Canis lupus familiaris: one gene and its partners. The protein of the gene in region 2 interacts with the protein of the main gene of each other region in a pairwise test. Links are inferred from orthologs where the notes say so. Each region holds a gene or a part of one and is shown on either strand. Other genes may lie near its edges. The genes, in order: LYAR, BEND7 and MFAP1.

What was found.
Region 1: the proteins of BEND7 (region 2) and LYAR interact in binary tests that used the Homo sapiens proteins (3 or more experiments, as listed by UniProt). The two-hybrid records come from large-scale screens. The link is inferred for Canis lupus familiaris from reciprocal best matches to the Homo sapiens genes BEND7 and LYAR.
Region 3: the proteins of BEND7 (region 2) and MFAP1 interact in binary tests that used the Homo sapiens proteins (3 or more experiments, as listed by UniProt). The two-hybrid records come from large-scale screens. The link is inferred for Canis lupus familiaris from reciprocal best matches to the Homo sapiens genes BEND7 and MFAP1.

What each region holds. Positions count from the first base shown.
Region 1 is NC_049224.1:70,304,430-70,308,505, reverse strand, and holds the start of LYAR (cell growth-regulating nucleolar protein), read left to right. Parts: upstream 1-1,227; 5' UTR 1,228-1,358; intron 1,359-4,076. Other genes in the region: ZBTB49 (zinc finger and BTB domain-containing protein 49), read right to left, coding at 1-109. UniProt on the Homo sapiens protein: Plays a role in the maintenance of the appropriate processing of 47S/45S pre-rRNA to 32S/30S pre-rRNAs and their subsequent processing to produce 18S and 28S rRNAs. Also acts at the level of transcription regulation.
Region 2 is NC_049223.1:21,943,751-21,947,911, forward strand, and holds the start of BEND7 (BEN domain-containing protein 7), read left to right. Parts: upstream 1-1,355; 5' UTR 1,356-1,387; coding exon 1,388-1,448; intron 1,449-1,983; exon of another isoform or gene 1,984-2,008; intron 2,009-3,872; coding exon 3,873-3,956; intron 3,957-4,161.
Region 3 is NC_049251.1:10,840,277-10,843,920, reverse strand, and holds part of MFAP1 (microfibrillar-associated protein 1), read left to right. Parts: intron 1-2,097; coding exon 2,098-2,317; intron 2,318-3,644. UniProt on the Homo sapiens protein: Involved in pre-mRNA splicing as a component of the spliceosome.

The DNA of each region.
Region 1 (4,076 bases), on a different chromosome or scaffold from region 2:
GAATATAAACCTGGAAGCACTTCCTTGGCTCTGGAGACGGCGTTTGGGACGCCAATCCTCTGTCTTTCCCGCGTTGGCCTCCCCGAGATGAGTCCCTTTCTTGCTTCATCACCACCCGTCTCTCGGCCTTTGAGTTTTGTCAGCCTCTGTCTCGGGCCCCAGGGCCACGTGCTCTGGCACCCTCGTGCCCCGGACTCCGGGGAGACGAGAACGCCGCTGTCCTGGAGATACCAAGTGAGGGAAATCCAAATTAACTTGGAGGAGGAAGGTCAGGGAAGACTTCTTGAGGAAGAGACATGTGAGCCGAGTGAAGGCTGAAAGCTTGAGCTACAGAGACAGGCTCGAGAGAGGCCCCCTCCTGGGGATTTCCTGGGGGAGCACATGGAAACAGACGCGCAGGGCCCAAGCGCCTCAAGCATCCTGCTCTTGAAACCTCCAGGCCACGCTGTCAGTCACTTCTGTTGGAACAACGTTTTCTTCCCGGCCCGTTCCGGTGAATCCCTTCTGTGATGGCCTGAATCCTGCCCCCCGCCTCCCCCCCCCAGGGCCCTGCGGACGTCCCGGCGAGAAGGGCGGGTGCGGGCCCGGCGCGGCGCGGGGGATGCCCCAGTGCAAACCCCGCCGGAGGCCGCCGCCGGGCCCCCGCCTCCGCAGCCGCCGGAAAACCGCCGTCGGCGGGCCGGGCAGACCCACGCAGGGCCCTTCAGGCGCAGCCCCCCCCCCCCACCCCCGCCGCCGCCCCCGCCCCGGGATCACCCTCCTCCCGGCGCCGACCCCGACCCCGACCGCGCGGCGTCCCTGCGGCCGCGGCACGCGCGCTCGGCTCCACGGGACCTGGGCCGCCGCGGGCCCGGGCGCTGCCCCCGACCGAGGCCGCCGCCCCCGGAGGCCGAGGGCCCGCCCGGGGCGGGGCGGGGCGGGGGGAGCCCGGGACCGCAGCCGGCCGCCGCGCGACCCTCAGGCTGCCCGGGGCGGGAGTGGCGGCGGCGGCGGCCCCGGCCTAGGCCGGCTCCCTGCGCCGCGCCCTCGCGAGGCCGGCCTTCCCGCCAGACGGCACCTACCGGAGAGGCCGCTCCCCGCCCCGCCGCCGCCGCCGCCGCCGCCTCTCCGCCAGCCGCCGCCTCTCCGCCAGCCGCCCTCAGCGCCGCTCGCCGGGCGCCGCCGGCCGCGGAACCATCCCGACAACGCCCCCTCGGCCGGCCGGATCCGCCTCCGGCTTCCGGGGACGTCACTTCCGCCGGGACGGCGCAGGCGCGGGGGGGCGCCCGGAGGGAGGCGGCTGCGGCGCGGGACGGGCGGCTGCGTCTCCACGTGCTCCTCGCGGCGGGTTGAAACCGTTGGCGGGCGCCGGCGGAGAGGTGAGGGGCGGCGCCGCGGGAGGCTGGGGCTGGGCGGGCGGTGGGCTGGCGCCGGCGTTTCCACCGCTGGACCCCTCCTGGGGCTTTCCCCGCGGAAGGACGAGGCGGGCCGTCCCGTGGCCTTCGTCCCGCGGGCGGCGAAGAGCCTGGTCGGAGGCGGGACGGTCCTCGCGCAGGGTCCCCGCGGGGCTGGGCTGCGGCCGGCTGCGAGGCGGGCCAGCTCGCGCTCCCCGAGGCCTGGGGGGCTGCGTCCCTCCGGGGCGGCCTGGACCGACGGAGGGCGCCCCGGCCGCCGCCCGCGACTCAGGTCTGCCCCTAGCTCCGCGGGTGACCTGCGAGTTACTCCTCCTGTGCCGCCGTTTGTCGGTCTACGAAGGGGCGAACACAGAACCCGAGATCTGCTGCGAGGATTGCACGCGCGCAGACCTGTTGGCCACCCAGGACGGGGCTGCCTGCAGCACCTGCTTCCGGGGAGACTGGGGAACGGCGTGGGGGGTACTTGCACGGCTGACCTCCCTGCGGAGGGCTCCTTGGGACTCACCCAGCACCCCCAGGCCCAGAGCCTAGCACAGCGCGTCTGACCCGCGCTAGACTTGCACGGATACCGATACACCCAAGGGATGCTGGTGATGTAGTTCTGGGGAGGCGGGGGGACATGGCTCCACTGGCCCCGCCTCGGTGCGCCCATCTGTTGGGTGGACATAGATGTACCTGCCTCACAGGGTGAGTGCACATGGGGAGCCTCGTCACCCCGCAGGCTGAGGCCACATGGGAGGCAGTGTGTACTCCTCTGTCCTTCCCTTGCGCCATACCCTTCGTGTCTTGGAATTCCACCCCTGGAAGGGGCTCCTGGCACCTCGCTTCACAGATGGGAGGACCCGAAGCTAAGAGGGGACAGTGACTTGTTGGAGGTCGTGGGGCTCACTGGGAATTGCGCTGTGGTTGCCAGCCTGCCCCCCCCCCCCCCCCCCCACCTCACAGGTGGGCTGTTTGAGGTTTAGGTCTGCGCCTACATGCCTGTGCGAGAATGTTTAAAGAATAGGGAGTGTAGTGTTTGCAGAAATAAACAATATAAAAATGTAAAGGCAGGAAGGTTTAAAAAGAACTCTAGAACCCAATTCTAGAACTAAATATGAGGCCCTTGTATCAGGTAACAGGGTGGTGGAGTGGGCAAATTAATAGGTCATAGGAAATACTTTCTACTGTTGGGTAAGGATGAATCTTTCCTATTTCTTATCTTCCACACAAAGCTCTTAAGATAGATTTTGGACCCATTTTATAGATGAACAGAATCTGGGAAGTTAGGATAGCTTGAGGTCATTTTTCATTGGTAGATGCTGGCTCCAGCTCAGATCTCTGGCCCTGAGTCAACAACATTCAACCAAACAGGGCCACCATCCTGGTAAGAGGACCCCTGAGGTGTCCCAAGTCCCTCATAAGTTCCCAGCCCCTTGTTATTGCTGCCTGCTCCCCTCAACTCAGACTCATTTTCTGACACCTGACCTCAGTTGTGACAAGGATGGTATCTCTGCTCGGTGTAAAATGGAAGGTCACTGTAGAGCCTTTGCTGTTTTTGCTCTTTTTTTTTTTTTTTAGTTTTTCTTTTGGGATGAGGGCCTCCGGCTTCTGCTCACTGAGTAGTGGCCAAGCAAACGGCGAAAAACATGACAAGTCAAGAGAGAGGAGCAGGGCAGGAGCTTGTCTCAGGCTACCTCTGCCACTCCCTATGTCTCCAGCCTAATCACTTAACCTCTCTGAGCCTCCACTATTTCTTACAGATGCTGGGGTGGTAATGTGATCATACCTGTTGTAGAGGTGTTGGGTGCAATTCTGACTATTAGTATGAAGTGGCTTTATGGAGAGCTAGCGATCGTGTTCTGTAACTCATCATCTTTTTCTTGGCTTGTAGCATGTGCTGAGAAGATCATAAGGTGAACGGACAGTCAGAAGCTCACACAGGGACTGGCCTCCTTTGGGGAAGGCACCCGGGTGCATGTGGATCCCAGTGCACACTCGGCATTGACCAGAGGTCTGCCGAAATGAATCACAGTGACTTAACTGGAGTGAAAACTTGAGTATGCTTTTGACTAGTCCACGAACACTGCTTTCTCTTTTCATGGGTCCCCATCTCTAGATGGAAGAGCACACAGAATCTCTGTGGCTGGGCAACCCCCGTGGCTCAGCGGTTTAGCGCCACCTTCAGCCCAGGGTGTGATCCTGGAGTTCTGGGATGAGTCCCGTGTCGGGCTCCCTGCATGGGAGCCTGCTTCTCCCTCAGCCTGTGTCTCTGCCTCTCTCTCTCTCTCTCTCTCCATCTCTCATGAATAAATAAAATCTTTAAAAAAATCTCTGTGGCTATCCTGAGCCAGGAAAGGAAAAGGGGATCTTTATTTAGCCCAATGAAGCATGCCATCATGTCTTTACACGGTGGGCTAAAAGTTGAAATATGTAATATCTGAGCCCTGTGGATAGGGTATCATAACGTCTTAATGCAACTGGCTTTCAGCTTTCCAAATTGCCAAAAGTATAAATGTTACACATTTACCAAAAACATCCATTTGAAAGTTTAAGGTTCTTTCACATTTACTTAGTTTTGTGAGATTTGTGGAAGTTTAAATTTTTAAGGCAGTGCTTGCCCTCTTCCCTTAGAGGGACTGAATTTTCAGAAGGCATCTTTTTGTAAGTTTGTAACATTTACACTTCTGCAGTCTTAAGCCT
Region 2 (4,161 bases):
TTCTGTCGCTGTCCATTATTTTGGCTCTCGCACACCAGTGGCGGAGTCCCCCCGTGCACCTGCCTGGGCCATTTCTTCCCCAAGAGTCAGCAGCAGAGCCCCCGAGCACCCACTGACTGACGTCGCGGCCCTCACTCCTTCCACCCTCTCCACGCCCCCCGCCCCCCCGCCCCGCGTTCCAAGTTGTCTCCTTGAAGAGAACTCCAGATCTTTCGACAACCCCTTTTGTATTGAGGTAAAGAAGCCTCGAAGCTCACTCTCCTCACCAGTAAATTCTCCAATCTCTCCGTTTCCTGGCAGAGCGCGGAGAGGGGTAAGTTGTGTGCGTGTGTGCGCGTGTGTGCCTGTGTGTGTTTCCTAAAAACTTGCGTAAAGCCCGCTGAGCGCGGCCCCTCCGACATCCCGGATCTCCAGGCAAGGAGTGGGCTGGCCTGGGTCCCCCGACACCCGGCACGACGCCTCCCTGAGCCCGGCCCCGGGGAGCGGCGGCGAGAGGCAGGCGAGCTCGGGGTCGGGAGCCGCCCCCCCCCCTCCCCGGCGGCAGCAGCGGCGGCGGAGGCGCCCGGGTCACCCCCACCGCCCGCGGCCCCCGGCCCGACCCCCGCAGTCCCCGCCGGGAGGCCGGCCCGGCCGAGGGCGCTGCGCCGCGGCCTCCGGCTCCTCCGCGGGGCGCCGCGCGGCCAGGCCGGTGGGTGGCGGCGGCCCGGGCCCCCGGGGATGGCGGCGGCCGCGCTCCGCCAGCAGGTGGCCCCGGGGTCCCGGCGGCGCCGCCTCCTCCCCGGCGCCCCTCCTCCCGCGGGGGCGGTCAGCGCCCCGACCCGGCTCGCACCCCGCCGCCGCCGCCCTCGGCCCGCCCGCCGCGTCCCCGGGGCCGCGCTCGCCGCCGCCGCCGCCGCCGCCCGCCGCCGCCGCCGCGTCCGGAGCAGCGCCCAGGCCGGCCCGCCCGCCCGCAGCACCCGGCCCGCCGCGCCGCGCCCTCCCCGCCCCCAACTCGCTCCCCCGCGGAAAGTTCGGCTCGGGCGGCGGCGGCCCGGGGACCCGGCAAGCGAAGGGGCCGGGGGCCGTGCTGACGGGACCGGGCGGCGGCGGCGGCGGCGGCGGCGGCGGCGCGGCGGGGGCAACTTCTGCCGCCGGCCCCGCGAGCCGCAGCCCCCGGGCGCGCTCGAGGTGGTTCTGCCCTCGCCCTCGCCTCCCCCTGCGGATCCAGGGCACGGACCTTGGTCCTGGCGCTCCCGCTGCCGGGTGACAAGAGCCGCCGCCGCCGCCTCAGCCGCCTCAGCCGCCGCCGCCGCCTCAGCCGCCTCAGCCGCCTCACCGCCCCCCGGCCGCAGCCCCTGCCTCCCGCCTCCCGCCTCCCGCCTCCCGCCTCCCGCCTCCCGCCAGCACCATGGAGTTCTCCGAGAGGAAGAGGAGCAGGAAATCGCAGAGCTTCAAACTGGTGAGCCGAGGTAAGCGGCGGGCCGCCGGGCCGGGCGGGGGGCGTGCGGGCGGCGCGCGGGGAGGACTCGGCGCCGCGGAAACACCCCCGCGGCCCGCGCCCCGCGCCCCGCGGGGGGGCCGCGGTGTGGGGGCGACGGGGGCGCTTCCGGGACCCCCGGGTCCCCTCCCGCGGGGGCGGCGCGGGGGCGGCGCGGGGGGGCGCACACGCCGCGCGGCGGGGAAAGTTGTGCAGGGGGCGGGGGGAGGCAGGATGTTATTCAGCGTAAACAAGTCGGAGGGCACCTCAGGAAATTAGCGAACAATGACACTTGGGGAGCCGAGAGCCTTCTGTGGTATTGCACTCCGCGGCCGGGGGTGGGGGTGCGGTGGGGGCGGGGGGCGCGCGCTGCCTCTCCCCCGCAGGCCGTGCACGCTCGGATCCCGACCCCGGCTTGGGGGCTGGCCTCCCCCCCGCCCTCCTCACACATGCACACACCCCCCTCACGAAAACAGAAGCAAAAGCAAAAAAAAAAAAAAAGAAAAAGAAAAAGGTGGTGGTTCTTTCAAGCACCAGAAAGCAGCTCATTAGGTGAAGGTGTAGGAGCCCAGACGAGAGCGGTTGACCTCTGGCATCTTCGCTATAGATACGTTCCGGGGGTTGGGGGGGGAGGGGCGGTGGGAAGGTGTATCGGAAGGGATCGCTTGTCGGTCACAAAAGTATCCCGATTAAAAAAAAAAAAAAAAAAAAAAAAAGATTCCAGCCGGTTCCTGACGATTTAACAGGTGTATGCCGCTCGCCGTCTTCGGGCTTGGGTCTCTCACAGGGAGGGCCGGGGAAAGTTGAATCTCGCCCTGTCCTGTGTTCAGTTACTTGTCAGGTCTCTCTTTTCCTGATTGGACTTTGTCAAAGATGATGAGAACTTGACATAAGAGCAGACATTAAAATAGGGCTATTAAAATGGCTTTGTGTTACCTTAAATTACAGGCAGGTGACTTTCTACCCCCCCCCCCCCCCATCCTCATGTCACAAGTCCTGATACCGAGTTTTGGAACCGCCTCGTTTAAATATCTTCTTTGAATCAACTTGAGGTCAGAACCAAACCCCAGAATTTGTCCCCTTTCCCTCTGTGCTTCTATCTAGCACTGGCCTCAGAGTAGAGGGAGAGCAGGAACCTGGAGAAGCCCCGTGCGAGCTGATGAAAATTAGAGGGTGATTTCCAAGTAATAGGGCTTTTCAAGCTAAGCTGAGCTAACTGTGATGTAGATTCAGTAAAGTCTGCTCTCCGCTGGTCTGAAGGTGGTTGTATAGACATTTATTTCCAAGATCGGCTCAGATCTGTTTCCCCTGTTTTAGTTTGGATACTGTTTAATGAAAGAGGCCTGAAATAGTCTCTACAAATTCAAAATATTTGGCTCTTCCTTCTCTCTGTGTGTGGATTGCTCAGTCATTTGTACTTTTAAAAATCTCTCCGTATGTGACTGGCCGGTGGGTCTATTGATTCATTCAGGAATGTAGGCTGCTTTCTTATTTATGACCTCTCAGACAACTTACTACTTTATCTGAAAAGTGAGAAGTTTTGTAGACCTTGACCTGTTAGGTCTCAAGCCACAAAAAGGGGAATAGCTGTTAAGAAGGAACCTCTATTTTCTTCCTAGACGATCCTACCTTTTAGAAATAGATCATTGGCAAGCCCAGTAGCCTCCGTAGAGAAGAAAAACGCTTGTAAAGTACTGCATTTTAAAGTTTGACTGACATAGCAAGTTTTTCATTTTCCTCTTTTTTTTTTTTCTTTGAATTATGGGTCTGATTCTTCTCTCTGCTCTGCAGGTGCATTTTTAGCAAATAAACTATTGCATATTAAAGTGCAGTAGCTGAATGCAAAAAGACTGTGTGAATGACGAGAATCTTGCTTTCTTATCTAGACTATACTATATTTGAAATAACAAATCAGTAATTTTCATGTGTGCTTTCCTGTAAGCTGCTTAAAGGCTGGAATTTTTCTGGATAAACTGAGAAAACTGAGCATCAGGTTACCCGAAAGCATGCTATTGATAGACTGTACTCATGGAAGTGGGTTGTGGAGATAATTTTGGAATCGTCCCCTGGCCTATGATTGGGCAAGGTTTTTCTTTCCCTTATAAACATACTTGTCATTTGAAAGCAAAGAGGCCTAGTAATTGGCATCTCTGGGCCAAATTTACTGTGAAAACCCATGTGATCAGCAAGGCTGTTTTCTAAAGTCAAAGTAATATTTCAAGTTTGTATACTTCCTCAGAGTAAGCAAAGTTTTAGAGATTATTAGTGACTACAAATTCAGTGATTAACCGAGTTCTTGGAAATTTATAGTTTAAAGTATAGATTATACATCTTATATGTAATGAGAGTCTAGTCTTGTTTTTTCGTATCTTGCAGCTCATTAGAATTTTAATTTTTGGTTGTTTTCTCATCCCAGATTATCACCATGAGGTATATAAGATCTCAGAATTCAGCAACAATGTTAATGGGGAGGCCGAAGAGACACAACCTATTTACTTAGGTAGGTTCCTATGTCAATTAATTTCTTAGCAAAACAGCGTGGCCGTTTGCAATTAGGGGGAAGGGAAAGAGAAAAAAAAAAAAAAAAGATTGTGCCAGAACGGGAAATGTCTGCCATTGCTTAATATATGACATTCTTTTCAAGACCTTTTATTTTACAGATTGCCAATATATCCCTTATTAACATTGCTAAAAGTTGTAATTTC
Region 3 (3,644 bases), on a different chromosome or scaffold from region 2:
TGGCATTGTGTATTCTATGGGTTTAGACAAATATATAATGACGTATATCCATTATTGTGGTATCACAGTATTTTTACTGCCCTGAGAATCCCCTGTGCCCTGCCTATTCATCCCTACCCCAACCCAACCCTTGGCAACCACTGATCTTTTTACTGTCTTCATAGTTTTGCCTTTTCCAGAATGTCATGTATTTGGAATCATACGGTATATAACTTTTTCAGATTGGCTTCTTTCACTTAGTAATATGTCTGTAGATTTCATCTATGTTTTATTATGGCTTGATAGCTCATTTCTGTTTAGCACTGAATAATATTCCATCATCTAAATATACCATAGTTTATTCAGTCATCTAGCAAGGAACATCTTGGTTCCTTCCAAGTTTTGGCAGTTATGAAGCTAAAGCTAAAATAAATAATCAGTGTGCAAGTTTTTGTGTGGACTTTAGTTTTCAACACCGTTAGGTAAACACCAAGGAGTGCAGTTACTGGATCATATAGTATGAGTATGCTTACTTTTATAAGAGACCACCAAACTGTCCTCCAAAGTGGCTGTGCCATTTTGCATTCCCACCAGTAACAAATGAGATCTTGTTATTCCACATTCTCTCCAGCATTTAGTGTTGTCAGAGCTCCGTAGTTCGGTTATTCTAATGCATATGCAGTAGTATCTCATTTTATTTTGCATTTCCTTGACAACATATGACTTGAAACGAATATGTTTATTTGCCATCTGTGTATCTTCTTTGGTGAGGTGTGTTAAGTCCTCAGCCTCACCTTATTCTTCAGAATTGTCTTGGTTCTTTTGTCCTATTCTTCCATGTGATTTTTAGAATCAGCCTGGGAACAACTATTAATGGAATTGCCTTAAAATTATAGGTCATGAATTTATTGATTAACTTGGGCACGGTTGCCATCTTCTCTTTCTTAAATATGACATATTTCTCTCTTTATTTAGAACTTTTGTATCTTCCAATATAATTATATATTTTTCATCTGAAAAGCCTTGTACGTCATTTGTTAAATTTATTCCTTGGTATCTTGTAGTTTAGTTACTATTGTAAATAGTATTTTTAAACTTTATTTTCTAATTTATGTAGATAATGTACAGGTACACTTATTTTTATCCAGCATTTATTTGGCATTCTCCCTGAATTCTTTTTTTTAGTTTGCCTGTTTGTTCTCTTGTATTTTCTGCATATAATCATAGTCTGCAAATTATGACAGTTTCTTCCTTTTCAATCATTACCTTTTATCTCTTTTTTTTAAGATTTTATTTATTTGGGATTTTATTTATTTGGTGGCTCAGCGGTTACACGTCTGCCTTTAGCTCAGGGCGTGATCCCAGAGACCCGGTATCCAATCCCACATCGGCTCCCTGCATGGAGCCTGTTTCTCCGTCTTCCTGTGTCTCAGCCTTTCTCTCTGTGTGTCTCTCATGAATAAATAAATAAAATCTTAAAAGAAAAAAAAGGATTTTATTTATTTTGAGAGAGAGAATGAGCGAGATGGAGAGGGAGCAGCAGACTCCCTAGAGCAGGGAGCCCAATGCAGGGCTTGATCCCAGGACCCTGAGATCATGACCTCAGCCGAAGGCACTTAACTGACTGAGCTACCTAGGCACTCCTATCTCTTTTTCTTATTGCCCTAATTAGAATCATAATAAAATGTTGACTAGAAGGTATGATAGGGACAACATAAAGATGCCCACTGGTTTTTAAAGGAATGCTTCCAATTTGTCATTAAGCATAATGATTGTTATATCTTTTTTTTAAGATCTTTATTTATTCATACCCTTATTTATTTATACTCTTAAGGGTATAGGTGAGGTGGAATAGCATGAATTTGTGACGGATGTAGTCAGCCTGTCTTCCTCCATTTCAGTATACTCAAGTTAGCCCTCTTTATCATTAGTGTTGGTATTCGCAAGAATGTTTTCCCATGACTTGGCCTTGACAGGAAAACACCATTAGATAAGTAGAGGGCTGGATAGTGGCAATCTCCTTCTGCTTGAACTCTTGTTTACCAGGAATATAGGGCTCTACCTGCAAAGGACATTGGGAAAGAGGCTACTGAAACATAAGTTATGTTTATCACCCAGGTGAGATTTCGATGGAGAAAGTGAAGGTAAAACGTTATGTGTCGGGAAAGAGGCCAGATTATGCCCCTATGGAGTCCTCAGATGAGGAGGATGAAGAATTTCAGTTCATTAAGAAAGCCAAAGAACAAGAAGCAGAGCCTGAGGAACAAGAGGAGGATTCATCCAGCGACCCTCGACTGCGGCGTTTGCAGAACCGTATTAGTGAAGATGTGGAAGAGAGGTAATGACTAGGGTTGTTTCCTTACACCTATACCCCTACAGGTTAGTTAATAACAACAACAATAATAGCTAATACTTGAACAGTACTCATTATATGCCAGTCACTATTCTAACTACCTTTAGTAATTCTTGTAATCCAGCCAATAACCTTATGAGGTATGTATTATTATCCCAGTTTACAAATGAGGAAACTAAGGCACAAAGGGTCAGGAGAATAAGATGACCAAAGGTATACAGCCAGCAAGTGGCAACCAGTAAACAGCAGGACCTCTGGTCCAAAGGCCCTAGTTAACTAAAGGAATAGAAAACACAGACCATTGGTTGGTTTGTTGGGAGGAGGAGGTCTTAAAATTAGAGAAATTGATTTAATCCACTCATTTATCCTAAAGGCTAATGAGGGGAAATTACACTGAAGAAGTAGGATAAAAGGCCTGATGATGAGTGAATGGATTCACGTAGGAAAGGGAGCTTCCCAATGAAGGATTTCATGTTGTATGTTGAGACATTACCTTAGAGTGCAGACCAGAGATCCCAAACTTTCACAGTTCATTCAGTCTCAGGAATTTTCTCAAGGAGTCCCTAGGTCTACTTTATTTTATTAAGTAGATCCAAATAATTGAATAAATATTAATGTCTTAACATTTGAAGCCATTTGAAAAATCTAATATGCATAAAAGAAAAAACATTTTTATTTCATTCTTATATAACTATAATTATTAGTGGGGGTTTGTGTGCCTCTTGGACACTGTTTCTCAGACCTTGAAATCAGATTGACACTGGCACACATATCCTGTCCCATGTTGATCTGCATGTACTTGCTTTTTATATAGCAGGTACCAAAAATCCAGTTTCACAAAGATACAATATCACTGAAAAGAAACCTAGTATGATCTAATGTTGAAACTGTGAACTACCTGGAGCTATAAAACAATCCCGTTGCACCCATATGTTTGTTGCAGTGCCTCATGGTGTTTCAGCTTACATTGAACATTTTAGGTCCAACCTAACTATTTGCTCTCATGCTTTGATTTTTTTTTAAGATTTTATTTATTCCTGAGAGACACGGAGAGAGGCAGAGACATAGGCAGAGGGAGAAGCAGGCTCTGTGGGGAGCCTGTTGCAGGACTCGATCCCAGGACCCTGAGATCATAAGCTGAATCAAAAGCAGACAATCAACCACTGAGCCACCCAAGTGCCCCATGAATTATTTTCGTTTTTCTGTCCCTCAGTTTCCCTCTCTCAAGACTTCACTATTAATAAAGGCAAACAACCTCCAGGTGCTCTAAGACTAAGGAAATGTGGGTAATGCTCTTTCACTTTTGTGACAT